3 linked regions of the Yarrowia lipolytica genome follow. The protein of the gene in region 3 interacts with the protein of the main gene of each other region in a pairwise test. Links are inferred from orthologs where the notes say so. Each region holds a gene or a part of one and is shown on either strand. Other genes may lie near its edges.

Region 1 (9,253 bases), on a different chromosome or scaffold from region 3:
AGTCTGCCCCTCTCATTGAATTGTAGCATCACTAGACTAGCCGCCGTGGATTTAATATTAGGCCCTGCTTGCGGTTACATTCCACATACTGTTTTAATCTGAGCATTCATTGGCGAGGACGTACATACCGTCCTAATTGTATCAGCGCATCTCGAGTACAGTACTTGTTCTTGTAACATATCGATGTGTACTCGTAATTCGTATATCAAGTATCTCTTTAGACGTTTAGAGAGTCCATAAATAAGGGGATTGGTAACGAACGATGAAGAAAATAGCCCGCTTCGCTCACCATCTGTTCAGACGACAGCCCAACAACTCGCTTTGTAGGTTTCCGAGTTATCTACGGCCCATGACTGTTGCCCTCCTCCTTCTCCGCCGAAATCTCTTCTCCTTTGAGATTCTTCTCCACGTCCTTGACAATCTCCTTGAGGTACTCCACGTCTCCCTTTCGGCCAATGATAGACACGGTGTTTTTCTTGAGCTCCATGTGCGGGTACGAGCCGATCTTGATGTCCTTCTCATTGACCTTTTCTTGCAGACGTCGCAAGTAAGGGGCCATGACACTCTCGGGCAGATCGGTCATGACAAAGAAACGGATCTGCTGTCGGGCCGTGTCCACCTTCTTCTCCAGATCGGGCTTGATTCCCTCCAGCAGCCGGGTGAAGAGACTGGGCACACCAGGGAGAATGTTTACCTTGCCAGCCACCGTTACAATGGGCACCCACAGGTCCTCGGCAACGTAGGTGATGTCCACCGTGTTGGGGAGCTCGGGGAGAGCTGTGGTAGCTCCCTGGGGACGAGGGACAGGGAAAGAGGCCATTCTCAGCTGAGCCGTTCGTGCTTCCGTGTCTGAGAAGTCGATCTTTCGTCTACTCAGACGAGTCATTCGGTCCACCGTTGCAGGGTGCTGTTCGACCCCCATATCGAAGGCCTTGGCGATAGCCTCGTAAGTGATGTCATCGTGGGTTGGTCCGATGCCGCCGGAGGTGACAATGAAGTCGTAACGCGAAGCCAGTCGCTGGATCGACTCCACAATGTCCTTTTCATCGTCGGGAACCACCTCCACTTTCTGTAGATCCAGGCCCAGAGCGAAGCAGTAGCGGGCAAAAAACTTGGAGTTTGTGTCTGAGATTTTTCCATTCAGCACCTCGTCGCCGATGATGAGCGCGGCCGACGTTTGTAGCAGGCGTGTGGAGGACGGAATTGGCATTATTCGGCTTGTTTGGTGCAGAATCTGGGTCGCTCGAAGCATGATATGTTAGACTGAGTCGCGCCTACTCTGCTTTGTCTAATATAGCGCGGGGTTGGGAGTGGGGTGGTTGGTCGACGGAGACATGAACCGTGACTAATAAAAAGTTGAGTCGATATTAGCGCCAGCGGTCTGCGCACAGTCTGCGCGCGGCGGTCATTTGCGCTCTTGCATTACCACCGTGCCGAGCACCATGTCCTGCCCACTCATGTATTACTAACCATCTGCTCACAAGCGTAACACGATACTGCGGCTGCCTCGCCCTCTCTTTGATTGGCTGTTGGTGGGACGGAGAGTGCAATACTCCAGTGAAGAAATGCTCGTGGTACCAGCTACGACCAAAGACAGAATCTAGCGAGAAAGCCTGTGGCCAAATCGCTCATTTTTCTTGAACTGATCCAAGTTTCTGATTAGTCACAAATTTCACAAGAAAAATTATTCAGCAATATCAGTCTGCATTTTTCAGTCACTTGCTCTCCCCACTATGACGTCAGAACTCAATTGGAGGTATATATATAAAAGACCATCAGAACCACACCAAAAGTGCCACCAAATACAACCAAACACTGACGTTATATGGAATCGTTCATCGTTTGGTTGCGCTTGGTATCGTTTGAACAGAATCACCTTACAGATACTTGTAGCTGTATCTCCACCGCCAGAATGCTTACTAAGCAACCCCCCCCCACCCCCCACCTGACGAGCGATTCCGGTAGAAACTGATCCTTCCGAATTATTACTAAGCAAGCCCAAACCCTCCGTGGCAGTAGACGAGAGAGGTCTATTCGGATCCTCTTCTCCGCTCGATGATGCCTTGACAGACCCGTAAGCTCCTCTCTTAAGTTTCACTGTGTGTCAGGCGGCGGCGTTGAGTGAGAATGGCAGTATATCTCGGTCAATAATGGGCGTATTTGAAATCTGAAAACGTATTTTGAACCGCCTTATCAAGGGGAACACATTTGTACATACTTATATGCTACAATTGACCACAGAATCACGGTAAACTCCTCTATTCCGCCTACACAAATCTCGCCCCTGTTAGAGTTGCGATAGGGAAGAAAAAGTTCTGGGACTTTCCAGACATTGAGGGAGCCGGGAGGAGGGGTCTATTCAGGGGAGCAGAACGGAGAGGAGGGGTGGGGTTGGTTCACGTGACCAAGTTGATGTCGAGGAATGCTTCCATGGTTTTCCGCGGTCTTCGAGAGTCGTCCACGTCCCATTCTAGGCTTCTCCAGAACACTCTCGATTGTCTTTCAGTCTCGCCTGAACCTTACTCTGTCCAAAGGCAGAAAAAAATATAAAGAAGTTGAAATCGCTTGGTCCAAAAAAAAAAAGTACTAATTGCATTTTATTCATCTACACACAACAACACACACAACATGTCAGTCAACAACTTCAACCCCGAAGAGGCCGAGAACCTCGAGGACATCGAAAAGCAGTTTGCCGTCAAGGCGGTGCACCACCTGGAGACGTACTGGAAGCTGCTCCACGCCGTCAAGGGCTCGGAGCTCAAGCTCACCAAGATCGACGACCAGATCATGACCCATCTCATCACAGTGTTCCCCGAGTACCTGGATCACGAGAAGGTGCGAGTGCTGGACGAGAACGACATGAAGTCGCCCACCAACAAGCCCAAGTGGAGAGAATTCATGAACACGTACGAGAACATCATTGCCGACTACAACTTTGGCACCATTCTGCGAGTTGATGCTTCCAAGGGCTACACTGAGACCAACACCATGTTTGTGCCTCGAATGCAGTTCCTGGCCATTGAAATTGCTCGAAACAAGTACGGTCTCAACGACTGGGTCTACCAGTCTGACGCCTAAGCGCGCGGACGGAGACGCCAAACACCACCAACAACTAATGTTGGGCAACGATAGAGCCCGATAGCTAATGTCATTATTTATGATTGAGTTGACATTTCTTTAGTAGAATTGACGACATATTGTAGATGAACCGGTACCGTATGTAAAAGGAATCGGCAAGCGATTTCGGTGATCGTTTTCGGCGCCTAAAACAAAGAAGAACACAGCAGCGAAGATACAGAGTTGCCCATTGTATTTGTCTCGTCGAGAGCTATCAAATCATGTCAAAAAAAGTAGCGTCATTCTCCACCATTGTTCCTTTGATGGTTCTTGCGTGGTGATGGAGCCTTCAGAGGCTCGACAATTGATCGTGTGCGGCTTCTTCAAAAAGATTTAACATTCTGACCTCGTTAGTATAGGTCCTCAAAAAGTGGTAAGCATGAATATATATACTGATTTTTTTGTATCTATTGTACTTGCACTGATTATATAATGCCACAATTTGGATTTTCTCATCCTCTGACTATTATTGAGAGAGATAGGGAGTGTATTGTGCCACCCTCAATACTTATGGGATCCAAGTAAATTCTGAATTTTAGTTGGGATATTACTGCAGATTCGACGGTACAGAAAACAACCATATCATTATATATGTATACAAATATCTACTACCTATTCAGCTGGGCGTAGATGTTGGCAATAGGTGTCCCTCAGTATCCAGTGTCATGCAGCGTACTCGGACTCATATGAGGGATATGATCGAGTGTTGGTAGAAGGAAGGGTCTCATTACCAAAACGAAAAGGCGAGTGTGACACATAATCTTGCCCAATATCCGTGCTCCCCTTTCATGTGTTTCCCATTCGACATTTGAATAAGTTCTATTACATGACACTGCCCAAAATGCTTCCCACGCTTCCATCCAACTCCTTCTTGCCCTCCTTTGCTCTCGCACTGTGGGTCTTGCCCTGGTAAAAGTCTCGATGCACCTTCTTTGCCGGCTTTTCCTCCGTCTCGCCGCCCTCTTCCTCCTGTCTCTGTCGTCGTCGCTCGGCAGCCTTGGACTTCTCCAGCGACTGGATATAGGTCTGGTTCTCTCGGGTGGCCTGGGAGATTTCGGTTCGCAGACGGGCCTGTCGGTTGTGAGTCTCCTGGGCCAGCTGCTCAGAAAGATCGCTCCACTTGAACTTGGGAAGGTATTTGGCGTTCATGATATCGTCGTAATGCTGCGAGCCCTTCTTTCCTCCAATCGTGTTGCCGTTGAGCGTGCTGGCACACGTCTTGGCGTACCGCTTCTTAGTGAACTCAGCCCAGCCCTCAGTGTATGCCAGAGCTCTGTTTCCACCATGTCTGATTCGTACCGCCTGCGCTTTGGGGTCCTCGGGAACCAGGTAGATTCTGTCGACGATTCCGAACCGCTGGAGCAGCATTCGCAGCTTGCCGGGGTCCATGAGCGGCGGAATTCGCGAGAAGTAGACGACACCGGTCTTGGCGATCTTCTTGTTGTGTTTCTCAATCTCCTCCTTGGTCATAGGCTTGGTCTTGGCCTTGGTAGAACTAGTCTTGACGGGCTTCTTCTCTTTCTCCTCCTCCTCCTCCTCTTCATCTTCTTCGTCCTCTTCCTCATCGTCGCCGTCGTCAGTCTTTCCAGCTAGCTCAAAAAAGTCTTTGGTCTTCTTCTTGGAGGTTCGGCCCTTCTCTTCTTCATCCTCGTCTCCATCCTCCTGTTCCTCTTCTCCCTCGCTATCAGAGTCGGCCAGCACAAACCGCGGGTCGACCGCCGGCTTGTCCTCCTCCTCCTCGCTGTCGCTGGAGTTGTTTTTCGTGCTGAAAAAATCCACGGCTTTTGCTCGAGCCATTTGAAAGAGTCGTATACTTGTAGCTGATAGTTGTTCTGGTCGCTGCACGAAAATATATTTCCCACCTGCATTTACTTCCAATCAAGGAACTCAACCCTAACCCCATCTTACCTCATCTAACATCGGATATGAGAGTATCGTAATAGTCATATGCAGATTCTGTGGGGTAACCAGAGTCATATAGAGACGCTATCACCACCCAGAAACCACCGAGCATGAGCCTCCGACTACTGACACGTGTCGTGGTGACACAGAAACAACACTGCGTGTCCTTCCACACTCTACAGCCACAGTCATACACCACCACCAAGGGGCCCTATGAAGATGTGGAGGAGCCCAAGAAACGGCGGAAGCGGACGGTCAAGAGCGACACGGAGCCCAAGAACACTGACCCGACACTCGCCGAGGCACGTAAACAGCGCACCGTGCCCACAGCGGCTCTCAATGAAGAAACACAGTCGACGGGGCCTCCTGGAGGAGAGCCTCCTCGACGTGCGGTGGCGCCGGATATGACGCCCCGGAAGCTGCTGGCCAAGCTCAACCAGTTCATAGTGGGCCAGGACCGGTCCAAGAAGGTGTTTGCGGTGGCGATCTATAACCACTACCTCCGAAGCGGCCTCCTGATTGACGAACGACAATGGAGCGACTACATGAAACGCATCAACGCCGCCAAGGGCAAAATCTCGGACCGCTGGGAAAACACCGACGAACCACAGTCGACAGACTACATCAACGTGCTCAAGGAGGAGTACGATGAGGAGACAGAAAGTCAGGTGATTCCGGACAAGGCCAACTTGCTGGTGGTAGGTCCTTCTGGATCAGGCAAGACAATGATGGCAAAGACTCTGGCAAGTTTTTTGTCGTTGCCAATTTCCATTTCAGACTGCACTGCGCTCACCCAAGCCGGATACGTGGGGGACGACGTTCAATCGTGTGTTCAGCAGCTGTACCAGGTCTGTGGAGGCGATGTAGAGAGGTGTGAGCATGGTATCATCGTTCTGGACGAGATCGATAAACTGGCCAAACGGGAAGGATCTGGAAGAGATGTCTCTGGCGAAGGAGTACAGCAATCGCTGTTGAAAATGCTGGAAGGCACTCTTGTACAGATTTCTGGAACCCCAGGAAGAGCCCAAACCACCGCTGGTCTTCCGGGAGGAGGTTCGGCCATGCCCAAGGAGAGCGTCACAATCAACACGCAGAACATTCTGTTTATTCTCATGGGTGCCTTTGTTGGTTTGAGTGACGTGGTGTCAGCTAGATGCAATACTTCTTCCGATATCGGCTTTGGTGCCCATGTCAGGCAGACTGGTGAGGATGAGGGCAAGCAAAAGGACAGTCAGGACAAGCTGGTGACTCTTGCTAACGGCGAAACCGCCAATGCTCTGGATTTGATCACTTCTGAAGACTTGAAAAAGTATGGTCTCATTCCCGAGTTGCTTGGACGGGCTCCAACGATTGTCAAATTGAATCATCTGACCGAGGAGGATCTATTGCGAATTCTGATTGAGCCCAAGAACGCTCTTGTGGAGCAGTTCCGAGTCAAGTTCAAGTCATTTGGCACCCGTATTGTCTTCACCAAGCCTGCTTTACGCATCATCGCTAAGACTGCGCTTTCCGAAGGTCTGGGAGCTCGGGGTCTGCATGCTGTCATGGAGAAGATTTGTCTCAATGCCAATTATGAGTGTCCTGGAACTAGCACTAAGTACGTGCTGGTCGACTCGTCGGTGCTCAGGGACTTTTCCATGACCAACAATACCAGAGACGTGACTTTGAAGTACTATTCGCGTGGCCAGAATTACGTCTTCATCCAGGATATTGCGGAGGAGGATGCCGCCCTGGCTGATGAAATTGAGAAGGAGCTGGCCGAAAGACCTACAGTGAGTAAGAACAGCTCCAATGGCACGTCGTCGTTTGGAGTTAGGGAGGCGGCTAGGGATGTGTTTTGAGTCAGCTATAGACCAACCACCATTCATTTAGATAAATGACATAACGAGATATAATGAAGACATGATCTGATGGAATGACGACTATTGGAAAACAAAAATCTACAGTTTTAGAACTATTTCCACCACAAAGTGTCGCTCATCTCTATCATCTAATGGAGTAATAATCCTCCTTCATTCATTCAATAACATGGAACTCTGCTCCTTTTTACAAACCCAACTTGGTAATCTCCTTCTCCAGCTCGGACACGGCGTCGGCAATCTTGTCGGCATTGTCTCCGGAGCCCTGGATGGTAGGACCCTTTCCTCCAGATCGGCCACCTACAAGACCGGCGGCAATGGCGCCCATCTGCTGGGCAGTCAGACCCTTGTTGGACACAGACTCATCGATGAAACAAGCGTGGGCAACCTTGCCCTCGGCGGGGGAGCCAGCAAACAGGTAGACAGACTTGCCAGGCAGCTTGGACTTGACGTGGTTGATGGTCTCAGACAGAGCCTTGGAGTTGGCGGAAATGTCGGGAACATGGGCAACCAGGTAGGTGGCCTCGGGGTTCTTCTCAAAGTACGAGGAAACCAGATCAGTGGAGGCCTTGGACTCAGCCTTGAGCTTGGCCTTGATTCCGTCGGTGATGGTCTTCTGGATCTTGTTGAACTTTTCCTGCAGAGCCAGCTTGGAGGTGGTGGACACAGACAGCTTCTTGAGCTCGACACCAATGGCCTTGGCGGCCTGCTCCTTGTCAGCACCAAGAGGCTGGGCAGCCAGCTTGTCGAGTCGCTCGTCAAACTCGGCAGCAAGCTTCTGCACATCAGCAGCCTCCTTGCCGGTCACAGCGACAATTCGTCGGATACCCTTGGCGATACCAGACTCCTCAATGATGACGAGGTGCTTGATCTCGCCGGTTTTACCAACGTGGGTTCCTCCGCAGAACTCGACCGAGTACTCGGCCCACTTGGCGTCGTCGGGATTGGCAATCAGGTCCTCAACGGGGACACCGACAGACACCACTCGGACGGGATCGGGGTAGGTCTCGCCGAAGACGGCTCGCACACCGTTGATCTTCTTGGCTGTAGTGAGATCGACGGACTTGGCGTACACGGCGAGGTTCTTGGTGATGTAGGCGTTGGAAATATCCTCAACCTTGGCCACCTCGGCGGGGGTGAGACCAGCCTTGTGCGAGAAGTCGAATCGCAGCTTCTCGGAAGCAACAAGAGATCCCTTCTGGTCAATTGTGTCTCCAAGAGTCTCCTTGAGAGCGTAGTTCAGAACGTGGGTACCAGTGTGGTTGTTCTTGAGGGGAGTTCGTCGGGCAGTATCAAAGCCAACGTTGACAACGTCGCCAATCTTGAGAGAACCATAGTTGAAGTTTCCAGTGTGCAGAACGTAGCCAGCGTACACCTGGACGTTGTTGACGTCAAACTCGGTCTGGCCGTCAATGACAATCTTACCAGTGTCGTACTCCTGGCCTCCAGACTCGGCGTACATGCATGTCTTGTCGAGCAGCAGACCGACCTGGCCGGCAGACTCGTCGACAGAGTCCACAAAGCCGGTGCCGTTGTAGATGGCGACAACCTTGGCGTCCGAGAGGTTGGACTCCGTGAACTTTGCCTGGTCGTCGGTCTTGGGGACAGCGTCGTTCTTCTCCAGCTCGGCAAGAGCGTGAACGTCAAGCTTGACAAGCTGAACGCCTCCAGCGGTCTTCTTGCCGCCCTTGGAGGCCTCCAGGGACTCCTGCTTGGCCTTGTCGAAGGCAGCCTCGTCAATGTCGAGTCCAGCCTCCTCGGCCATGATTCGGGTGAGGTCTACGGGGAAGCCGTAGGTGTCGTAAAGTCTCCAGACGTCCTTACCGGCGAGAACAGTCTTGCTGTTGGCCTTGGCGTCGGCAGCGTATTGCTCAAACAGCTTCTCTCCTCGGTCGAGGGTTCGAGAGAAGGACTGCTCCTCGTCGTTGAGAATCTCGAAAATGTCCTCCGTTCGCTTGCTCAGCTCGGGGAAGATCTCGTTGACCTGCTCGATCAGAGTGGGAGCCAGCTGGGAGAAGAAGGAACCAATGGGCACGTCAAACTTCTTTCGGACGAATCGCGCACCTCGTCGCAGAATTCGTCGCAGAACGTAACCTCGTCCGTCGTTGTTGGGCACTCCTCCGTCGGCCAGAGCAAAAGTCAGGGTTCGAACGTGGTCGGCAACAACTCGGTAGGCAGTATCAATACCGTCAGCGTCCTCGGCGCCAAACTTGCCAGCGTAGTCTCGGGCTCCGGTCAGCTCCTGGATCTTGGCGAAGATGGGGGTGAACACGTCGGTGTCGTAGTTGGAGCTCTTGTCCTGCAGTACAGACACGAGTCGCTCGAAGCCCATTCCGGTGTCGATGTGCTTGGCAGGCAGAGGCTTGAGCGACTTG
Region 2 (10,611 bases), on a different chromosome or scaffold from region 3:
TCTTTCGGGCCCAAGGCCTTTATGACCCCCCCCCCCCTTTTCTCACCGTGCCGTCCCCTCTAACGCACGCGATACCCCCACGTGCTGTTATGCTTCAACCAATAGCAGGCACGTTACTTAGCATGATATCGAGGGTGCAGCCCACCTGTAGAGTCTGGTGATAAGGTTCTCGGTTAGATCAGTTGAAATACCACACGGCTTCGACTTTTTTCTGGGTTCAACTAAGTCCACATTCATCATGTCATACAAGAAGATTGGCGGCGAGGACCTGGAGCTCAACAACATTGACAGTCGCAATTACGACTCTCCCGAGGCTCCTCCAAACGACCTGGACGACCTGGCAGACCTGGACGACTTTGAGCATGATCACGAGGACGATTACAGTGTGGACGATGATCGTGCAGATATCGGAGAAGGGCTTTTGGGAGGCAAAAAGAGCACAGGAAAGCAACGACAGTTTCGACGGAAACCAAAGATCAGTCTCAAGCTGGGGTTGGTTATTGCGTTCGTGATCGTTGTCCTGATTGTGGGCTTTGTCATCCGATACCTCAAGACCAGTAAGGGATGGTCTTCAGATGTGGATTCTCTAGGACGAAGACTGCAACCATGGCAGAGAAACACTCTGGACGAGTACAATCTCAGTAAGAACGGATTGTGGAATTCGTCTAGTGAACCCCAGACCAGAGAGTACTTCTGGACAATCTCCGACATTGTCGGAGCCCCAGACGGAGTCCAGAGAAAGATGACTGTTATCAATGGCAAGTTCCCCGGTCCTCTAATTGAAGCCAACGAGGGAGACAGAATAATCGTGCATGTTAAGAATGAGGGAGCTGATCCTACCGGTATGCATTTCCATGGTATGTTCCAAAAGGGTACCAACTTCATGGACGGAGTTCTCGGAGTCACCCAGTGTGGAATTATGCCTGGACACGAATTCACTTACAACTTTACACTTGATGGCCAGTACGGAACTTACTGGTACCACTCTCACTGGGACCTTCAGGCTATTGACGGTGTGGCTGGACCTCTTGTGATTCACTCCCCCAAGGAAGATGAAGCCTACAAGCATCTGTACGACGAGGAAATGGTTTTGTTTGTGAACGACTGGTACCACGAGATGGGTCGAGAATACATGCCTGGATATCTTTTTCCCAACGGTGAAAATGACGAACCTGTTCCTCAGGCTGGTCTGATTCAGGGCATGGGCGAGTTTGACTGCTCCAAGTACACTGACCGAGAGTGCCAGCAGCTGCAGAAGCAGATTATTCCTGTGGAGGAGAATAAGACGTACCGAATCCGAATCATCAACGCTGGTGCCATGAGTGAGATTGACTTTTCCATCGACCAGCATAAGTTCGATCTCATTGAGGTGGAAGGATTCTCCGTGGAACCCTACGAACTGCAGGCAGCACGTGTGGCCAACGCTCAACGATACTCATTCTTGGTGAAGACAGATAAGCGAGAAATTGATGAACAGTTCTGGCTGCGAACCGAGTTCAACCCTCATTGCTACGCCGAAATGAACGATGAGCTCGATATCAACGTCAGAGCCATTTTCTCATACCCCAGCCACACGGAGAAAGTCAAGAAGCTGATTGCAAAGGGGGATCCCAATTACCTGGTTGCCCACGGAGATCCTCAAGATGTCAAGTGGAAGGACTTTGATGGAACCGTCGAGTGTTTGGAGCTCAATACCACCATGTTGACGCCTAAATACAATGACCCCATTCCTGGACGTGGAGACTTTGTCGAGCTTCATGCTGCTTTCCATAGACAGCAGGGAGCCATCAAGCGAGGAGTCTTCAATGCCACCACCTGGAACCCCGCCAAGGAGGCCACCCTGTCTCAGTTTTTGCGTGAGAAACCCTTGGAGATGTTTGCCGATGGACCTTCCAAGCACTGGGGTCCTGACCAGCTGACCGTGACTGTCAACTCCACCAGAACCATTGATCTGGTCATCAACAACCTCGATGACGGAGCTCATCCCTTCCACCTTCACGGTCACAAATTCTGGATTCTCGACTCGGGCAACTCCTACTTCAATTTTGGAAGATATGACAACATTCCTGACAGAGGACAAGTTATGAGAGACACTCTTCAGGTGGACGGATACGGCTGGGTTCTGATTCGGTTTGTGATCGACAACCCCGGAATCTGGGCGTTCCATTGCCATTTTGCCTGGCACATGGAGGCAGGTCTCAGTATGCAGTTTTTGGCACTACCTGAAGAGCTCATGGAGATGCAGCCACCGTCTGGCTGGAATGACATGTGTAAGGCAGCATTAGAGGAGGAAAAAGAGGGCCAAAAGGAGGGACAAACTAACTAAAAAAGATTGCTATAGAGAACGCGGGGTAATATATATATATATATATATATTAATTTACTAAAGACTGTACATATCTACAACTTCTCAGTGCCTATTAATACGGATGATCGGGACTTTGGGGATGCAGGTGGGTCCGGGTGAGACTAAGTAATTTTCCCGACATTATGTACAGTCGGATATCTCTATTTACACTATCTGAGGTGTTGTGTTTTACAGTACGAGTATGTCCCTAATTTCTTCATACAAGGGTGCAGAGGGCATGCGGCTGACTATAATAAATTTGCCACTGAGCCGCCGTTCCTTTTAGTCCAAACAAAACCACAGCCCGCTCCATACCCATTAATTCGGCTCTCACCGTATAGCTACGCACTTTGCCGCATGACGGTGGCAATTTCTATACGAAAATAACTTGATTTTCGCGCATGAGAGGCACATGTACGAAGCACCGTTTTTTCCGTTTGTCGGACTTAGGCCCGACCGAGCCTTAGGGTTAGGGTTGCAGGCCTTGCAATTGGATGTGTCAACACTAGCTCAAGCAGTTAAAAGCCGCGGAAAAGAAACACGTTTGGGTCCGCTCCAGTCACGTGGAATCAAATTTCCTACAGCATCATAACACACAATGGGTGAGTAATCTTTTGTTCACAATCTTATCGACAGACCAACAAGAACACAACCACAGCCAGTCATCGACACACAACCAAGGCACATGACTAACCTAGGTACATCTCTATGGCTCCAGCCTCCTAGGAACTCGCCAATTTGGCAGCAGCTTGCCACTACAATCCAGGGCCTGAAGCCCATCTTTTCAGACTCGGAAAACTTCGAGCCTCACATTACACTTACTTCCAACATTTCCGTCAACACCCAAGGCCAGGTCGACTTTGTGTTAGATCGAGCAGTTGCCGCAGCCAAATGCGTGCCCCAGGGCTTCCAGATTCACCTGTCGTCCGTCAAGTACGGATCGCGGTTCTTCAAGAAGGTCTATCTCCAGGTCGAGCCCACTCCAGAGCTCCTTTCACTCGCCCGAATATGCCGCGAGGACTTTGTGTACATGCCCGAGGCCATGTCACAGGCACGCAACTACCAGGCCATGTCTGCGGAGGAAAGACAAAAAATTGACACCCAAGTGGGCCAGCGGGCTGCCGAGTGGACCAGAAACGAGTACGACCCTCATGTGTCTCTGGTGTACTCTGATCTGTACCCCGTTGAAGACGCAGACCGGCGAACCATTGAGACGAGACTGGAGGACACTTTCGGATCCGGATACGACGAGAGCGGTCTTGGATGGAAAAATGGACGTTTCGCGCTGGTGCGGTGCGAAGGACCTGTGGACGAGTGGGAAGTGCTTGGTGTTCGGGACTTTTAAGGGGTTACGAACTTATTGTTTGGAATGACGTCACATAATAGTCAGCACAATTAAGCACCATCGAGCCTGCTGCTTGTTCACAGTTCTCTAGCAATACTGTGCCATATAGAATGCCAGTGCAAGTCCACATCGTGTGGTTTGGCTGGCCCTTAATGAATTAATGTCTTATGTTTCTGAAAAGGGTGGTGTACATCGTACAACTGTGGACGTAACTCATGGCGTCACTCCCAAGGCCAGAGAGTGTATGGATGGACAGGATTCAGTATCGTAGGGATAATATATTATCAGTCTTTCTATAAACTGGTGCAATGTATTGTTGCTGTGGCGTTGTGTGTTCATGTTGTTCAGCGTTATATCTCACTGGCTCGACAGAAGTTCTCTATACTTTCTTCTTGCATCTACAGTACAAAACCGCCTTCCATGCTAAATTCTATCATTACAGTATATATACATTATGTTGTAGTCTAGTGTCCACTTACTTTTTAAGCAGCTTGGAAGTGAGGCTCTCCAGATCCTCCAGAGTGGTGGGCTCCTCAACCTCCAGCACGCCATCATCCTCCTCCTCGTCCGAAGACTCATCCCGCTGGAACCACTTGGGCTTCTTGGCGGCCTGTTCCTCCTCGGAGTCTCCCTCTTCCTCGGACTCCTCGTCATACTCGTCGAGTTCTCGAAGTCGCTCGATCTCCTTTCGCTTTCGCTTCTTCTCAGCTCGCTTCTGCTTGACCAGCTCCTTGTCACCGACATCAGCTTCCTCCATATCCTTGGTTTCTCGGTCAACAAATTCCTTGACCTGGCTCTCGACGGGTCCTGCAGCCTTGAAATCCTCCTCGTCATCAAACTCGTAGAGAGCATGTGGCGCTCCCTCGTCGTCAAATAGTGTCTTGGTTCCCAGACCCTTGTTTTTGAGCGACTGCTTCTTGGATAATGCCTGCTTGGCTGCTCGCTTAGAAGTGGGCAGGTTGGCGACATCCTCGTCATCATCAGACTCAAGGTTGTGGTCCTGACGCTTGACCGTCATAAAATCTCCAGTCTCCTCATCCTCGTCGGCGTCTCCCTTGACCATGTTGAGATAATGGTCCGACAGGACGTTCTGGTTCTTCCTCTCAAACATTCTGTCCATCTTAGTTCGTACTTCCTTCTCATCGTCAGACACCACTCCGTCATCGCCGGCCCGCATGAGCTTCTGCAGAGCCCGCGACTGGTTCTTCTTGGCGTTGGCTTCTTCCTTCATCTTCTCAGCACTCTTTCCGAGCTTGATCTGTGGTGCACCAGGCAGACCCAGAGACTCCGCAAAGGCCTCGCTGGGGATCTTTTCAAACTGGAAAATCTCCTTGTCCTTCTGGATGAAAATCGACTTGTAGTACGAAATGAAGGCCTTCTGACCCAGGTACTTGATTTCCGGCGACTTGAAACACAGAGCCTGCAGCTGGTTCTTGATGGACTTCTTCTTGTTCGGTCGGATCGTCAGTTTGTTGATGGGGATATGCTTGGCTTCGAGCCGCTGGATCATGGCGGGCTCCTCAGTGGGGGTCAGGAACAGCAGTGCCTTTCCAGACTTTCCAAATCGTGCACTTCGGCCGACTCGATGGATATAGGTAGCGGCATCTTCGGGGCAATCGACCTGAACAACCCAGTGAACAGCCGGGAAGTCGATACCTCGAGCGACGATATCGGTAGCAAACAGACACGAAGAAGAGGCCTTGGAGAATTTGGAAACAACATCCATTCGTGCTCCTTGTTTCTGCTTGCCATGCAAATGCAACAGGGGGATACCGGGCTGCAGAGTTCGGAAGGTCTCGTAGACGTATCGCACCTGTTTTGATGAACTGAAGAAAACGATGATCTTGAACTTGGTGTGTGTTCTCAGGAAACCCCACAGTGTGTCCAGCTTGTCTTGCAGCTCCACGCAGACATAGTTCTGTTCGAGGTTCTTGGGTGTGCTGGAAGTGGTGTCCGGGTTGGCGGAGATGTACTTGGGGTCGGCGAGTGACAAACGGGCCAGATCACTGACGCTCTTGGTCTGTGTTGCGCTGAAAAGCAGAGTCTGTCTGTCCACAGGCAGGTTTTCCAAAATGGCATCCATGGTCTTCTTGAAACCCATATCGAGGATTCGATCGGCCTCGTCCAGCACCAGCATCTTCACGTTAGAAAGATCAAACCCGCTAGTTTGGTCCATGTGTTGTAACAGTCGTCCGGGTGTACAAATGAGAATGTTCAGCTTGGCCAGTCGGTCAGCCTCCATGGCAACGTCCTTTCCTCCAATAACCAAACCAGCAGAGAAGCTGTGACAACGGCCGATTTTTCGCAGAACCTGGAAAATCTGGACCGCCAGTTCTCGAGTCGGACTAATAACCAGGGCTCCTAAACCATCCACATCACTCCACTTGTTTCGAAACAGGCACTCCAACACAGGCACCAGAAACGCCAGAGTCTTACCACTTCCGGTACGCGCTGCTCCAAGCAGATCGTGGCCTTGCAGAGCGGGAGGGATGGCCCGCTTCTGAACATCGGTACAGGTGACATAATGTGAATTTTTTAGACCCTCAATAGTAGCCTCAGACAAGGGCAGCTCCTCAAACTTGGACACCTCCTTGTCGGCCTCGTCCTCTCCAAAGTTGTCGACGCGCTCCTGCAGCTTGGAGAGCTTCTGTTTGTGTTCCTCTCGTTTGATTTTACGAGGATCGGCTCGTTTCTTCATTTTCGCCATATCTCAAGCTGTCGGATAAATTTCTTGGACAAAAAAATCTAACTTTTCGTGCGCCTTCACTTTTATCAGTCTGAAAATTACACATGCATGCAGCTTGGAGTATGGAGGCGACAGAGGTGCATGCCAGAGTGCATGAATTAGGGCAACGGGGGTGTGAAGAAGGGCGCAAAAGATGTGACGACGGTGCAAGACGACGGTATACTGCAGACAAGGTCTTTCACTGCAAAACTCCTGGTTAAATCGTGGGTCCCGCGTCTCCGTATCATATGACTTTGGGTCACGTGACTGCAAGATTTTTAAGGTTTCGAACTCCCAAATTGAGTCACGTGTCGTCTCTCTGCAACATGAGGTATCGTAAATTAGGAATGACTCGACCTGACAGGCCATCAAGGACCCTGATGCAACTCTGAAATTAGAGGGAGGAGGTAATGAGAAACAGTGCTGGATTGTGGTGAGACATTGAAGCGGGATTGGTTAACCTGTTTCTTTTTTGTCGTTTGCTCTTCATTATTGCGATTTTTGTAGTCATTTGATTAGATCAGATCAGCAGTCCCCTCATGCTGTCGTTGATGGGCGCGTAATCAGTGTAACGCTTTGAATGAGGATGGTGGTGAGTAATACTTGGTTTTCATTGGGGGGGGGGGGGGGGGGGGGGGGGGGTACCTGTTACTCGAAAAACAAATCATATGCATCTCTGAACGTGCCGGGGTGTGGCATGTTTCTCGCTTCGAAAAATAAATGTTGGCTGTTCCAGGCTTGTCTCAGACCTGCAAGAATCATACTGGCGTAATCTCCGCCAGGTCTGGTCAGGAACAAGAGAGTAAAAGAAATGTTTGAGTCTCGGCTTTCACATCCTCGGCACTAGATAAGCAGCAATATCAATGTCACATTGCTTGCTTGTGCAGGTCAGGGGGAGGGGGATGTATATGATACAAGCAGGTTCGCATCTACAGAATCTACAGTATGTATCTGATGATAGCCTTACACAGCGCACGCAGATGTAGTTTTTGGGTTGAACAGTGTCAGCGGAAGCGGCGTAGTGGGGTACTGTAGTACAGAATCAACGGAATGAAGTTTACAACTGCTTCTGTTACTGTAGCCTTTCACTGTTCAAATGATAACGTTGGAGAAGAGTGCACCCTCTGTTAGATAGGATTACAGTCCAGACACACATTGGCACCGAAGTCTGTAGTCAAACATTGGTCTCAGTTGGTGTAATGACATTCAATAGACTGATTCTGCAACTCCTACACCTTGCATTGTACACCCGAGACCCCTTGTACGGCCCGCATTTCTCCTTCACATGTCGGCATGTGTCTTGTCTGTAGCCACTTCAATGGGATGCAGTATTAGCACTGTCGGACACACCTCAGTCAATGGGAATGGAATGCCATGCTCCTAGCGGCTCATTGTTTGCTAGGAAATACAGTTAATAGCACAGATCATACAGATCATAGAGTCTAGGCTCTATACGTCTTAGAACAACCATTATTTGTTTAAACGACAACTTGGTAAGCGAATTACAGTAAGTAGCTATTGTTTCTATCTCTGTCAGTGTTCGGATAAGTCCTTAGATCACCATACTCAAAGTGGTACGTTTCGTCGCATCGGACGAGAAGTGTGTCTATCACCGTTTCTTTTTGCCGCTCTCATTTTTGCGGTCGGAATAATTACTGTGGACCCTCGGCGCCGACCGTTTTGCAGGGCTCATCAACCTAAAACTTCTCCGAGTCTGTGCCTTCAGGTGGGCATAGTTGATGGGTGTTTTGAAGTTAATAGTGGGGAAGAACTATGGCAAACAAGCAGATGCAGGCACCTTGTAACTGCAGACCGGTTCTTGTCTACCGACTCCGCTGCACCTGTGCCGCGGTACATGTCGTCACAGGCTGCGGGGTTCGGAGGCCCCCTTGCAACCTCCTTTGATAGTTGCTATGGCCCCAAAGAGTTATACGAGATAGACCCACAGATCTACTTGACTGTTGTCACAGAACCTGCTAGGTTTGCTTATTGTACCCGCTTTGTAGCTACTGTACAACGACAACGTCAAAAATTGAGACGCGAACAAACTCCAGATGCAGAACCCAAACCTCTCTCTCAGAGTTTCGAGTGCTTCTACCTCACAGTAAAGTGGAGGTGGACCTGCAAGGGAATTCAGTCACAAGGCCCCGAATGTCTCCGAAACTCCAATCGGACCGTTTAAACAGACTAATATCACGTCATTGATTGATATTAGCATCCGGCAAGAGCCGCAAGGTTATCTCCTCACCAATGAGCCTGTTGTACGGCTCATTCCGCATCTGCGGCTGATTCAGTTTCGAGTGGGGATGGTAGACTTCATTGCAGCATTCCTAACCTTCTACTTGGTCCGTGGAGATGTCATGGACATCGATTTTGGGCTGAGAAGCCTTTTGACGATGTCGATATCACTGACCGCTAATTTACTCTGGCAGTTTCTCCGGCTCTCGAGGCATCGTCGATCACCAAACACTATCTGCTAGTCTAAATGTCCGACACGACAGCTTTTGATCGCCGTGAACGGCGCAGACCTCATGCACCATGCACCAGGGCCAAATCAATTACGGGTCGCTTAGCGTTGCAGTCGGGGCATTATGGTGGAAGTTCCGATACGGCACAGACACATTCCATAGTGGGGGGATTGGATTATAAAAGGGCCATAGAAAGCCCTCAATTGATACCCAAGTACCAGCTCCCCTCACTATGAAGCTTTCCACCATCCTCTTCACAGCCTGCGCTACCCTGGCTGCCGCCCTCCCTTCCCCCATCACTCCTTCTGAGGCCGCAGTTCTCCAGAAGCGAGTGTACACCTCTACCGAGACCTCTCACATTGACCAGGAGTCCTACAACTTCTTTGAGAAGTACGCCCGACTCGCAAACATTGGATATTGTGTTGGTCCCGGCACTAAGATCTTCAAGCCCTTCAACTGTGGCCTGCAATGTGCCCACTTCCCCAACGTTGAGCTCATCGAGGAGTTCCACGACCCCCGTCTCATCTTTGATGTTTCTGGTTACCTCGCTGTTGATCATGCCTCCAAGCAGATCTACCTTGTTATTCGAGGAACCCACTCTCTGGAGGACGTCATAACCGACATCCGAATCATGCAGGCTCCTCTGACGAACTTTGATCTTGCTGCTAACATCTCTTCTACTGCTACTTGTGATGACTGTCTTGTCCACAATGGCTTCATCCAGTCCTACAACAACACCTACAATCAGATCGGCCCCAAGCTCGACTCTGTGATTGAGCAGTATCCCGACTACCAGATTGCTGTCACCGGTCACTCTCTCGGAGGAGCTGCAGCCCTTCTGTTCGGAATCAACCTCAAGGTTAACGGCCACGATCCCCTCGTTGTTACTCTTGGTCAGCCCATTGTCGGTAACGCTGGCTTTGCTAACTGGGTCGATAAACTCTTCTTTGGCCAGGAGAACCCCGATGTCTCCAAGGTGTCCAAAGACCGAAAGCTCTACCGAATCACCCACCGAGGAGATATCGTCCCTCAAGTGCCCTTCTGGGACGGTTACCAGCACTGCTCTGGTGAGGTCTTTATTGACTGGCCCCTGATCCACCCTCCTCTCTCCAACGTTGTCATGTGCCAGGGCCAGAGCAATAAACAGTGCTCTGCCGGTAACACTCTGCTCCAGCAGGTCAATGTGATTGGAAACCATCTGCAGTACTTCGTCACCGAGGGTGTCTGTGGTATCTAAGCTATTTATCACTCTTTACAACTTCTACCTCAACTATCTACTTTAATAAATGAATATCGTTTATTCTCTATGATTACTGTATATGCGTTCCTCTAAGACAAATCGAAACCAGCATGCGATCGAATGGCATACAAAAGTTTCTTCCGAAGTTGATCAATGTCCTGATAGTCAGGCAGCTTGAGAAGATTGACACAGGTGGAGGCCGTAGGGAACCGATCAACCTGTCTACCAGCGTTACGAATGGCAAATGACGGGTTCAAAGCCTTGAATCCTTGCAATGGTGCCTTGGATACTGATGTCACAAACTTAAGAAGCAGCCGCTTGTCCTCTTCCTCGAAACTCTCAAACACAGTCCAGAAGTCCTTTATAGTTTGATCTGTATCCAGATAGCCTCCGTAATTGGTGTGTGTCTTCAAATCCCAGACGTCCACATTGGCATGTCCTCCACTGATAAGCATTTGAAGTTCATCTGCGTTGAACATTGAGACC
Region 3 (10,340 bases):
CCCATCCCCATTGTACAGGCGTCCACCTGGCACTGCATTATGGGATTGAAGGGCACGGTGCGACGCAGTGAAGACGTGCATCTAATCAACTGCAACGTGGACACAGACGTGATTGTGGAGTCGCCCGACCATGTCATCCAGGGCATTGTTCCGCAGTCGATTTTCCAGGTGATTGAGAACTTTGCGCTCATGAACCGACGATTGCACATTGTGCCCATCTGTCAGAAACAAGCTGAAAAGCCCCTGCCTGTCATGACTCGCCCGGGGTGGGTAATTCTTTCTCCCGACGTGCTTCTGAACAACTTCAGCCCGAAGGAATACAACGAGGAGATTGCCAAAGTCGGCAAGCTGGTCAGTATCACGGAAGAGATTGACAAGTTGCGTCCCAAGAGTCCCAAGAACGAGTAATCGGGATAGCCAGGGTAGCCAAGTGATAATCCGAAGCTCTACAATTGAAGTGTCCTATTTGTGTGTATCAGCCCATTTTTTGTCCCAGCCATGGTCTGCAGTAAACTTGAGCCATTGAGAGGTCTGTGATGAGACATTGGCAGTGGTGAGTGTGTGGTAATTCTATGGACACGTTTCTTTATGGATCAGTGTTGTGGGTGTCTTTGGGGCTGTTTTGTGCAGTATTTTTTACACCTCCTATTGACACAGTAGAATAGGGATACTGGCGGGCGCGTTCAAGATCGGTGGACATTGACCTGGCGATATTGGGATGGGGCCATGACTTCATGGTTTGATATTTTGCAGCTCGCGAAACAGCATAAAAGCCACCAGTCCCTTGCAGTAGACAATAACAAAAACGACAAAACAAAAGCACCACCACTACTACCACTACAAGACAATATGGCACATTACGACCCCAGCTGGACCCACGAGCAAAAGGTTCAGGAAGTCAGTAAGTATCGTGCAGATTCAAGTCTTCGACTACGGCTAATACTAACGATAGAGAGACGACAGAGCCAGTCCTTCAGGCTGTGCGTCATTGCCTAAGAGGCGAGACGGGCAGATTGAGAGTTTGTAATCCAATGGATTTATTACTATCAGGCATCTGGGAGAGATGGACCCCCTTTGGGAGGATATTCAACCAAGTAGGAGAACTGTAAGGTGCAAGGTGATTTGGCCGCAGAGCGCACCAGACCGTAGACAGTTATGCACCAGCTCTCCTTGTGACACGGCAATTAGTACCTGTGGAATGCTGTGTCCCCGGAAACAGTAGCAGAAAGGAGCGCCACGAGCTTTACTTGGCCGCTGATGGAAGGAGACCTTGAACAGACCTTGCTCGAGTGTCCATGCTGTCGTCTTGTTTTTGTGGTTCGTTATGGCCGTAATCACGTAGCGTGGATGGTGGATGTGGATTCTCATTCCTCCTGACCCACAGCTCCCTTTGCCACCTCGCCAGCAACCCAGTTGACAATCTGGGGGATCTCAGCCTCGGGAACCCCCCCTTCACACACGCCCACGGTGATGGGAAACTTGTAAGCTCCCTTCTTGACAATGAGTCGAGCCAGACGGTCCACCGTGTCGATTGTGTCTTCGGACTGAAGCAGCTTGGTCAGCAGCACCTCCTGGCCTTTGGGGACCGCGTAGACAAGACTGCTCACCTTGCCGGGGCCCCCTGTCTGTTCATCTTCGGTTCCGGAGGGAATCGGCTCGTGCTTGTTAGATCGAGTGATGAACAAGGTCACAGACTTCTTGTCAGCTTCGCCGTAGGCCAGGTGGCAGTAGCTCTGGCCCGTTCGCGATGTGGTTTGCAGCATTGGAGTGGTGATGTTTCGGGGAGGCTTGATCTGGCTGATGCAACTTTATTTTGAGACCGAAAAAAGTGGCATGTGTGAAAATGACTAGAAAATGCCGTACAAAGCTTGGTGATTTTAGTGAGTTGAATCGCACACAATCTATACGAGGTAATCACCCATTATATCCTCTGAAAGCTTCGAATATCGCTTGGTGCATCTCCTCAGGTACCGTACTTTGGTTTCAACTAAAACCCAAGTAAACTCCCAACAGAAGGAACTTATTTTCTCAACAATATTTGGTCTGAAACACCGCGTTAAACCAGGTATGTATATGCAGAAAAAAAAAAAGTAGAGAAGCCCCCAAGAGAACAAAATCGATATATAAAATCCCAATTTTTCCACCATAGGAGCTTTTTTTGACCCATTTCCCCCTCCTTTTTCCTTTTTCCCTCCTTTTTTCTTTTTCCCTCCTTTTTCCTTTTTTCCCTCCTTTTTCTTCTCTTTTAAATGCCATTGGACTATGCACTTGTAGCCCAATGACGTCATTGGATGATCATAGTCGGATTCTCAACAAACCACCAATGGACCGTTTTCGACCACCTTCATATTATCTAGTCACATGACCACCACAGATCTCATAATACATCACGTGACCGCATCCCATGGCTATTTCCTCGCTGCTGTCTGTTCGCCCAGGTGCCGATTATTGGCTCAAGGATGTCCGGGGGTTGGAACGGAGGCACGTCAGAGACGCAGGTGGGGTACTTTTGGAAATAGGTATAATCGGACTGAATAGTGAAGATATGGGCGTAAAAAGCACATTTTTGGACTCCTCGAACTCTGGAGATTCGAATGGTATCATTTATGTATCTTTTAAAGGCCCCGCTAACAAAGTCTACGCCGGTCCTGTCAGCCGCATCATCATGCATCTCATGGGTGCATCCATAACATGCCAAGATGTGTTTGTATAAATGTGGAGGCTACTTGTAGAACATAAAGGACAAATAAAACCAACAAAAACACATAATTTTTGACATCTGTTCATTTCCAACAACCACGAGTACCGCACCACCGACCAATTGACCGCCGCCATGTCGACCCAACAAATGCTGATCATGTTTGACACCAAGGCTAACTGCAACAAGTTCTACCATGCCAAACTTCTGGACGATCTGGACACGGTGGAGGTTCGGTATGGGCGAGTTGGCAACGAAGGAGTCAAGCACACGTATGTTGGTGGGCAGCGCAAATACGACCAGATGCTACGGCAGAAGCGCAACAAGGGCTACAAGGACGCGTTGATTGCCGCGGATGTGGAGGATGATGGTGGGGTGACGGTGCGCAGTAATGTGATTGACACTGCTCTGGAGGAGATCAAGTATCTCGACGACATGAGTCGGGTTCTGGTGACGACGATTTCGCAGCAAAACATCCATCGTATCACCGCTTCGACTTCGATCAAGTTTGACTCGGACGACGGTCTGTTCAAGACTCCTCTGGGGGTCATTCAGCAGCATGGAGTCGAGGAAGCTATCCGGCTGCTGGGCGAGATTGAGACCCATGTTGTCAATTTCGAGGCCCTGGTGGCCAAGGAGGGCGTCTCTTTTGACACTCCGGTTGCCAAGAAGGGTCCTAAGAAGCGCAAGAGGGCTGATGAGGAGGTGCAACAAGGACCGATTGGTACCCCTGAGGATGGAGTCAAGCCCGAAGGTGAAGGTGAAGGTGAAGGTGAAGGTGAAGTAGTAGCTGAAACCAAGACTGAACCTGAACCCGAACCCGAACCTGAACCTGAACCTGCTGAACCCTCATCTCCCCCCTCCAAACGACGCCGAACAAGAGCCCGTGCTACCAAGACCAAGGCCCAGAGAGACGCCGAGGAAGCCGCCCAGAGAGAGGCGGAGGAGCAAGCTGAAAAGGCAGAAAGAGCCCGGAAGGCGGCCGAACGAAAAGCCAAGGCAGCTGAGAAGAAGGCAGCCGAGAAGGCAACCAAAGAAGCCATCGAAAAGGCAGCAGCCGAAAATGAACCCGCCGAAGAAGAACCAAACGCCGCCGTGAAACCCTCTGCCGAGCTGGAAGTCATCATGTCCACTTTGTACACCCTCAACGAGCAGTACTTTGTCATCATCCCCAACAAGGTGAAAAACGCCCGCGAAATCAGACACCTGCTGTTCAACCAGACCGCCATTGACGAGCAAAAGGCCACCTGTGACGCTCTGCTGGAAACCCTTAAACTGATTGAAGACCTCAAAAAGAAGGCAGCCGAGGAATCGGAAAAGAAACCCACCAAGAAGAAGACGGACGCCGAAAAGACCTTCAACGTCGAGGTCAAGCACGTGACCGACAAACGCAGCTTCAACAGAATCAACACCATGTTTGAATCGTCGAAAAACCAGATCCACGGCTACACTGCCAAATGTGCAAAGGTAAAGAACATCTACAAGATCAAGTTGGGTTCCCAACAGGCCCCTTTTGCCGCCACCTCCAAGAAAATCAAGTGCGTGCAGGAACTGTGGCACGGAACCCGTCTCCAGAACATTCTGTCTATTCTGGGAAAGGGCCTGCTTCTTCCTAAACTGTCTCCGGGTCAAAAGGTGGGTGCCATGTTTGGGGACGGTCTGTATTTCGCCAACCAGTCGTCCAAATCGCTCAATTACTGCGACGGCATGCTCTGGACCTCAGATGGAAGCGGAAAACCAGAGACCATCTACATGTTTCTGGCGTCGGTGGCTCTGGGAAACTACTTTACACCCGAGGGGCCTGTCAGTACCAACCCCCCCGAAGGTTACCACAGTTATTGGGCCAAGGCTGGTCAAAGCGGAGTCATGAACGACGAGATTATTGTGTTTGACGCGTCTCAAATCCGACTCGATTACTTGCTTGAGATTGAATTGAGAGCTAGCGACGAGTAACTACAGTGTATTGATGAAATTACAAGTACAAATGAGCTGAGAGAAAGCACCAGTATTGCAACCCTGTCATCCACTCACAAAAGACGTAGATAGTTTGGTTTCTCAGACGAGTTGCGGGACTCGGAGTGTGAATCAGCAAGGGAAACAGACCCAACTTGCTCCTGGGTCGTAGTAATCACCTTCTTGTCGGTCTCATGAACTCCGTTGTTGCTAGCAATAGAAGCAGTTGCTTTGGAGGGCTTTTCGCTTTCGTCCTGACGTTCCATCATAAAATGAGGCCCCGAAAACAGCAACGGAGCCCTACTTATAGTAAGCTGGTTTATGGCACTTGCTACTCCCGTTCTAAACTCAAGATTCAAAGCCCAACTATCCACTTCTCTCAACCCTAGGAGAACACCAAGATGCACTTTATGGTACCAAAATGATGCTGGGGATCTCCTGGTCGTGGCTGTGCTACTATCCTATATTTCATCCATACAAATTTTGCCACTTTGAGAGTCCGGCATTAGTGTGACTCCAATCGGCGCGGAATGCGAGCATCGGGGACCGGGGAAAAGGGGAAAAAGGAAGCTGTTCGAGTCTGGACCTGATTGGACCACAGACGGCTCTGCGACCTCCACCCTTCATTATCTGCTACATGCACTGCACTTGTCTGGCCAATTCTCGCCATAGCGAGGACATGATGCAGAAGTCCAAAGTCTAACTATAAAAAATTCGACTATCTGCACAATCTGAAATTTTCAAGTTTCATTTTTCAATTTTCATTTGCAAATCAGCTATCGTCACCATATCACCAGAGAGCGAAATGCCACCCAAGGGAAACAAGGAGAGAAAGACCGTGAGCGACGACCCGCGATTTGCGGGAGTGCATTCGGACCCGCGGTTCTACATGCCGCGAAAGAAGGACATGAAGGTGACAGTGGACTCGCGGTTCAAGAAGGAGCTGCTCCACAACAAGGACTTTCACAAGGGCGCCAAGGTCGACAAGTATGGTCGAAAGCTGGAGCAGCAGGACGCGCAGCTGCAGCGGCTGTATAACCTGAGCGACGATGAGGAGGAGTCCGGTGAAGAGGGAGACTCCGAGGAGCCCGAGACCAAGGCTCAGAAGAAGCCTCTGTCTGCTTTGGACCGAGCGCGGGGAGAAGGAGTCGATTCTGACGCCTCTTCGGGCGACGATTCAGACTCGGACGACGACTCGGACTCGGACTCGGAGGTGGAGATGGAGGAAGAGGTGGTGCTGGCGGACTCGCAGGACATTGCCACCGGCGACGAGAGCACCACTCTTGCGGCGGTCAATTTGGACTGGGATCACGTGCGGTCGGTCGACCTGATGGCCACCTTTTCTGGCTTCATCCCCCCTAAGGGCGAGATCAAGTCTGTGGCCATTTATCCCAGTGAATACGGCAAGGAGAAGATGGCCGAGGAGGAGCTCAATGGACCGGACGCGCAGCTGTTTGAGGAGAAGAAGAAGCGGGCTGGCGACTCGGACGACGACTCGGACGACGACGAAAAAATCAAACAGGAGTTGCTCAACAACGACGACGGCGAGGAAATCAACTCCAAGAGCTTCCGAAAGTACCAGTTGCAGCGAATGCGGTACTACTACGCGGTTATTGTGTGTTCGGATGTCGCCACGGCCCGAAACATCTATCAGAACTGCGACGGGACCGAGTACGAGTCGACCGCCAACTTTTTCGACTTGCGATACGTGCCTTCGGACATGACTTTTGACGACGAGCCTCGAGACAAGTGCACACGGGTTCCCACCAACTACAAGCCGTCTGATTTCGAGACTGCCGCTCTTCAGCACTCCAAGGTGAAGCTCACGTGGGATGAGACTCCGGCCGAACGAAAGAACGTGACTCTGCGGGCGTTCAACAAGAAGGAAATGGATAATGAGGAGCTCAAGGCCTACCTAGCATCCGACAGCGAGTCTGACGAGGAGGGGCGGGCCGATCTCAAGGCAAAGTACCAGAGCTTGTTGGAGGGCACCGGCATCAACAAGGGCGAGGACGAGGATGGAGAGGAGGATGTGGATATGGAAATCACCTTCACCCCCGGACTGGACGAGTCCAAGAAGAGTGCTGCTGAGCCCAAGGAGGAGGGTGAGGAAACCACGCTGGAGAAGTACAAGCGAAAGGAGAAGGAGAGACGAACGGCCCGAATCCAAAAGTGGCAGGAATCCAAGGAGGCCAAGGAGGATGAGGAGCATGAGAAGGAGGCCAAGAAGCCCAAGAACAAGGGCAAGAAGGAGCGGGAAAAGAAAAAGAAGGAGATGGAGCAGTTAGCGTTGCTGGTGGACGAGGAGACCGACGCCAAGCACTTTGATATGAAGGAGATCATCAAGGCCGAGAAAAACGCCAAGAAGAAGTCCAAGTACAGACAGCAGGGTCTTGTGGAGGACAAGTTCGAGATGCCGGTCGACGATCCTCGATTTTCGGCTCTTTACGACGACCACGAGTTTGCCATTGATCCGTCCAAGCCTGGATTCACTCGAACCAAGGCCATGGACAAGCTGCTAGATGAGCGCCGAAAGCGGCAGGACCGAGGTCAGGGAGGTGTCAAGCGAAAGGGCGAATCTGGAGAGCCTGCCAAGAAGAAGAAGCGAAAGGGAGACCAGACCGGCGAGGGTGTGGAGAGTCTGGTTGAGCGAATCAAGCGAAAGCACCAAAAGGATAACCAGTAGGGGGACTAAACCAAGCAGTTAGGTGATTGTTGCGGTTGGTATATAGATAATGGAGGTAAGATATTGGTGGTACGGTACATACAGTAGTAGTAGTAGTAGTACATATTACTACACTACAGTACAGTACTTTAGGCAATCTGACAGTGGGTAAACCGTTGTGGTAATTTTTCCCGCCGCCGAGTCACCATGACTCCGTGGATACATTTCGACTGATAGATGTAGAGTTTCGGCCCGACAGGAGTCACAGCCGTCGGGATGGGTTCAAGGTCTCAGTTTTTCATCATCAAAACAGTTGTTCCAGTCAAACTGCCGGCATAGAACTCTTCCATGTACCTCAGACGAAAAAAAAAAAAAAAGCTCCCTCTAGCGACTTCTGGTGACCGTTTGGATGCAGCCATTTCGGGCTAGGTTAGCGCTAACAAGGGGGAGGACAGGAGGACAATAGTAGGGGAGTATCGGTGTAATGAGACGTAGAATGTAGTTGAAATGACGGGCAAGTACTTGAAAGTGCATTCACTTTTCGAAATCACTGGTCCTCAACTTGTATCCAAACTGGTGGATCCAAACTGGTGGATCCAAACTGGTATTTAATCTGCGTCTTATCAGCGATGGACATAAGAAGGAGGTGTTGAATGGAAACTAGTGGTTTTCACCCGAGGTGGAGAAGAAAAGGACCAGATTTTTATAATCATCGAAAGAAATCTCGAGCTCATCTTTTGGCCCGATTTGGCCCGATTTGGCCCGATTTTGGCCCGAACCTGCTGTTATTTCAGCCCTTGAATGTCTCACATGGCATACAAGGTCTTTTTTGGGAAGCAAGATAAGACCCTGCGGCCATGATAGCGGATCAATGGAGTTAAAAAAGTCGATCTAGCCCTACTTGTTGGTATATATACCCTGGACGCGCTGCGGGGTCGCCATTGCACGAAAAAAGACTCCACGAAAATGTCGCACGAACCGCCGGGAACCACCATCTTGGAAAACCATGCTTCCGATGCTATCATTCTCCAGCCCACTCCGACAGCCGATCCCAACGAGCCGCTCAACTGGTCCAAGTGGAGAAAACACACAAACTTGTTCATTGTCTGTTTCTTTACGCTCATGGCGTTCACCGCCAACTGTGTATCGACGGTTTTCTGGACGCCTCAAAATCAGGAGTTGGGATGGACTCTGGACCAGCAGAACAACGGATACGCGCTGTCGGTGGCGGGTCTGGGTCTGGGATGTCCACTAATGATCCCGTTTGCGGAAAAGTTTGGAAAACGGCCCGTTTATTTGGTATCTTCGGCGATAGCTCTAGCATGTGCGGCTTGGATGGCCAAAATGACGACCGTGGGCGAGTTGTACGGCTCCAGCTTGCTCCAAGGTATGGCCACCAGTGTCACTGAGACCATAATTCAAATGACGGTGGCCGATCTCTACTTTGTGCACCAAAGAGGCACCTGTAACGGCATCTACATGGTGGTGGTGGACGTTGGCAACTTTCTCATCATGGTGCCGGCGGGATATATCACCATGAGTCTGGGGTGGAGATGGGTCTACGGAATCATTGCTGTCATAACCGGAGCCCAGTTTCTTTCCACGTTGCTCTTCTTTGAAGAAACAAAATACACAGCCGGAACAGAGACCCTGGTGGGGGTCGGAGAAGACGAAGAAGACAGGCCAGAGGAGAATCTGAGCAACAAGGACGCAAAAGACATAGTCCGCAACTTGGAGTCTCCTTCGACGGAGTCTGTCATCATGGATTTCTCCGATTCAGCCTCCTCCAGAAACGCCTACCAGTACCAGAAGAACCCTCTGTCCAAACGCCTGGCTCTGGTCACCTATACCCCAGGAAGCTGGAGAGAATTTGGTCGGAAAATGTACACCCCGTTTATAACGCTGTTTGCCTACCCAATCGTCACCTTTGTGGCCATCCAATACGGCTTCATGCTCACGTGGTTGGCCATGGCAGCTACTACGGTGGCATCTGCGTTTGCCGAACCTCCCTACAGCTTTTCCTCCGCCGCCCTGGGAAACATCAACATTGCTCCCTTCATTGGAATGGCACTAGGGTCTGTCTACGGAGGCTGGTTCAACGACAAGACAATCATTTGGCTGTCCAGACGCAACGGAGGGCAGTACGAACCCGAAATGCGACTGTATGGGCTGATTCCTGCAAACCTGACTCTCACAATCGGACTGTTTCTGTTTGGACTTCCCATTGCCCACGGGGTCCACTGGATGGTGCCCACTCTCGGATTCGCCATCATCATGTTCGGATTCGGCTCTTCCGGAGCCATTGTACTGACATATCTGCTGGACAGCTACAAAAACATTGTTGCTGATGCATTTATCGGTGTGATTGTGGTCAGAAACGTGTTTGGAATGATAATGGTGTTTGCCCAGACGCCCTGGATCGAAAAAGTCGGTCTTCAGAACGTCTACATCACCGTGGGATGCATTTCTCTGGTCCCTCTAGCCCTGACCGTTCCTCTTATCTACCACGGCAAACATCTGAGACGAAAAAGTGAAGCTAGGTACCTGAGAGAATCCACTAGACGTTAGAGACTACGACAGGTTGACGCTTTATTTATTCAATTATATATTCACTTGAGCAGCCCAACACACCAAATTAGACCAAGAAGTTATCCAGTTGGCTATAAAACTATCAAAATTTCATTAGAATACTCCAAATACCAAAAACACCCAAATTAGCCGGGTTTTGCCGTTTTTTTGCCGTTTTTTCCGGTTTTTTCGCCGGTTCAAAGTTCCATAACTGCCCTCACAATGTCCCACCAATCCCGGAATACATCCATGGCATCCTGGCCGAGCGGTTAAGGCGAGAGATTAGAAATCTCTTGGGGTTTCCCCGCGTAGGTTCGAATCCTGCGGATGTCGCCATTTCATTTTTTTACATCCTCTTGTATCAGCTCCGTAACGAGTTTTACTTTCGATTTTTATTCATTTATATTCTTTTTTATGACTAAGCAAACTTATGGTGCTGTAGGTCTAGCTTTTCGA

What was found.
Region 1: the proteins of YALI1_C24460g (region 3) and YALI1_B05520g interact in binary tests that used the Saccharomyces cerevisiae proteins (3 or more experiments, as listed by UniProt). The link is inferred for Yarrowia lipolytica from reciprocal best matches to the Saccharomyces cerevisiae genes ESF1 and ESF2.
Region 2: the proteins of YALI1_C24460g (region 3) and YALI1_A21345g interact in binary tests that used the Saccharomyces cerevisiae proteins (3 or more experiments, as listed by UniProt). The link is inferred for Yarrowia lipolytica from reciprocal best matches to the Saccharomyces cerevisiae genes ESF1 and HCA4.

Annotation. Positions count from the first base shown.
Region 1 is NC_090771.1:547,116-556,368, forward strand, and holds YALI1_B05520g (uncharacterized protein), read right to left. Parts: upstream 4,915-9,253; coding exon 3,940-4,914; downstream 1-3,939. Other genes in the region: YALI1_B05454g (uncharacterized protein), read left to right, coding at 1-26; YALI1_B05483g (uncharacterized protein), read right to left, coding at 341-1,252; YALI1_B05497g (uncharacterized protein), read left to right, coding at 2,629-3,078; YALI1_B05522g (uncharacterized protein), read left to right, coding at 5,130-6,860; YALI1_B05571g (uncharacterized protein), read right to left, coding at 7,066-9,253. UniProt on the Saccharomyces cerevisiae protein: Involved in the small subunit (SSU) processome assembly and function, and in the 18S rRNA synthesis. Required for the early cleavages at sites A0, A1 and A2. Stimulates DBP8 RNA helicase ATPase activity.
Region 2 is NC_090770.1:2,128,045-2,138,655, forward strand, and holds YALI1_A21345g (uncharacterized protein), read right to left. Parts: upstream 6,400-10,611; coding exon 4,168-6,399; downstream 1-4,167. Other genes in the region: YALI1_A21283g (uncharacterized protein), read left to right, coding at 239-2,326; YALI1_A21311g (uncharacterized protein), read left to right, coding at 3,033-3,692; YALI1_A21372g (uncharacterized protein), read left to right, coding at 9,118-10,122; YALI1_A21409g (uncharacterized protein), read right to left, coding at 10,215-10,611. UniProt on the Saccharomyces cerevisiae protein: ATP-dependent RNA helicase required for ribosome biogenesis. Involved in the release of U14 snoRNA in pre-ribosomal complexes. Required for pre-rRNA cleavage at site A2.
Region 3 is NC_090772.1:2,440,585-2,450,924, forward strand, and holds YALI1_C24460g (uncharacterized protein), read left to right. Parts: upstream 1-5,456; coding exon 5,457-7,337; downstream 7,338-10,340. Other genes in the region: YALI1_C24400g (uncharacterized protein), read left to right, coding at 1-408; YALI1_C24419g (uncharacterized protein), read right to left, coding at 1,087-1,397, 1,457-1,763; YALI1_C24434g (uncharacterized protein), read left to right, coding at 2,834-4,651; YALI1_C24488g (uncharacterized protein), read left to right, coding at 8,283-9,884. UniProt on the Saccharomyces cerevisiae protein: Involved in the 18S rRNA synthesis. Required for the early cleavages at sites A0, A1 and A2.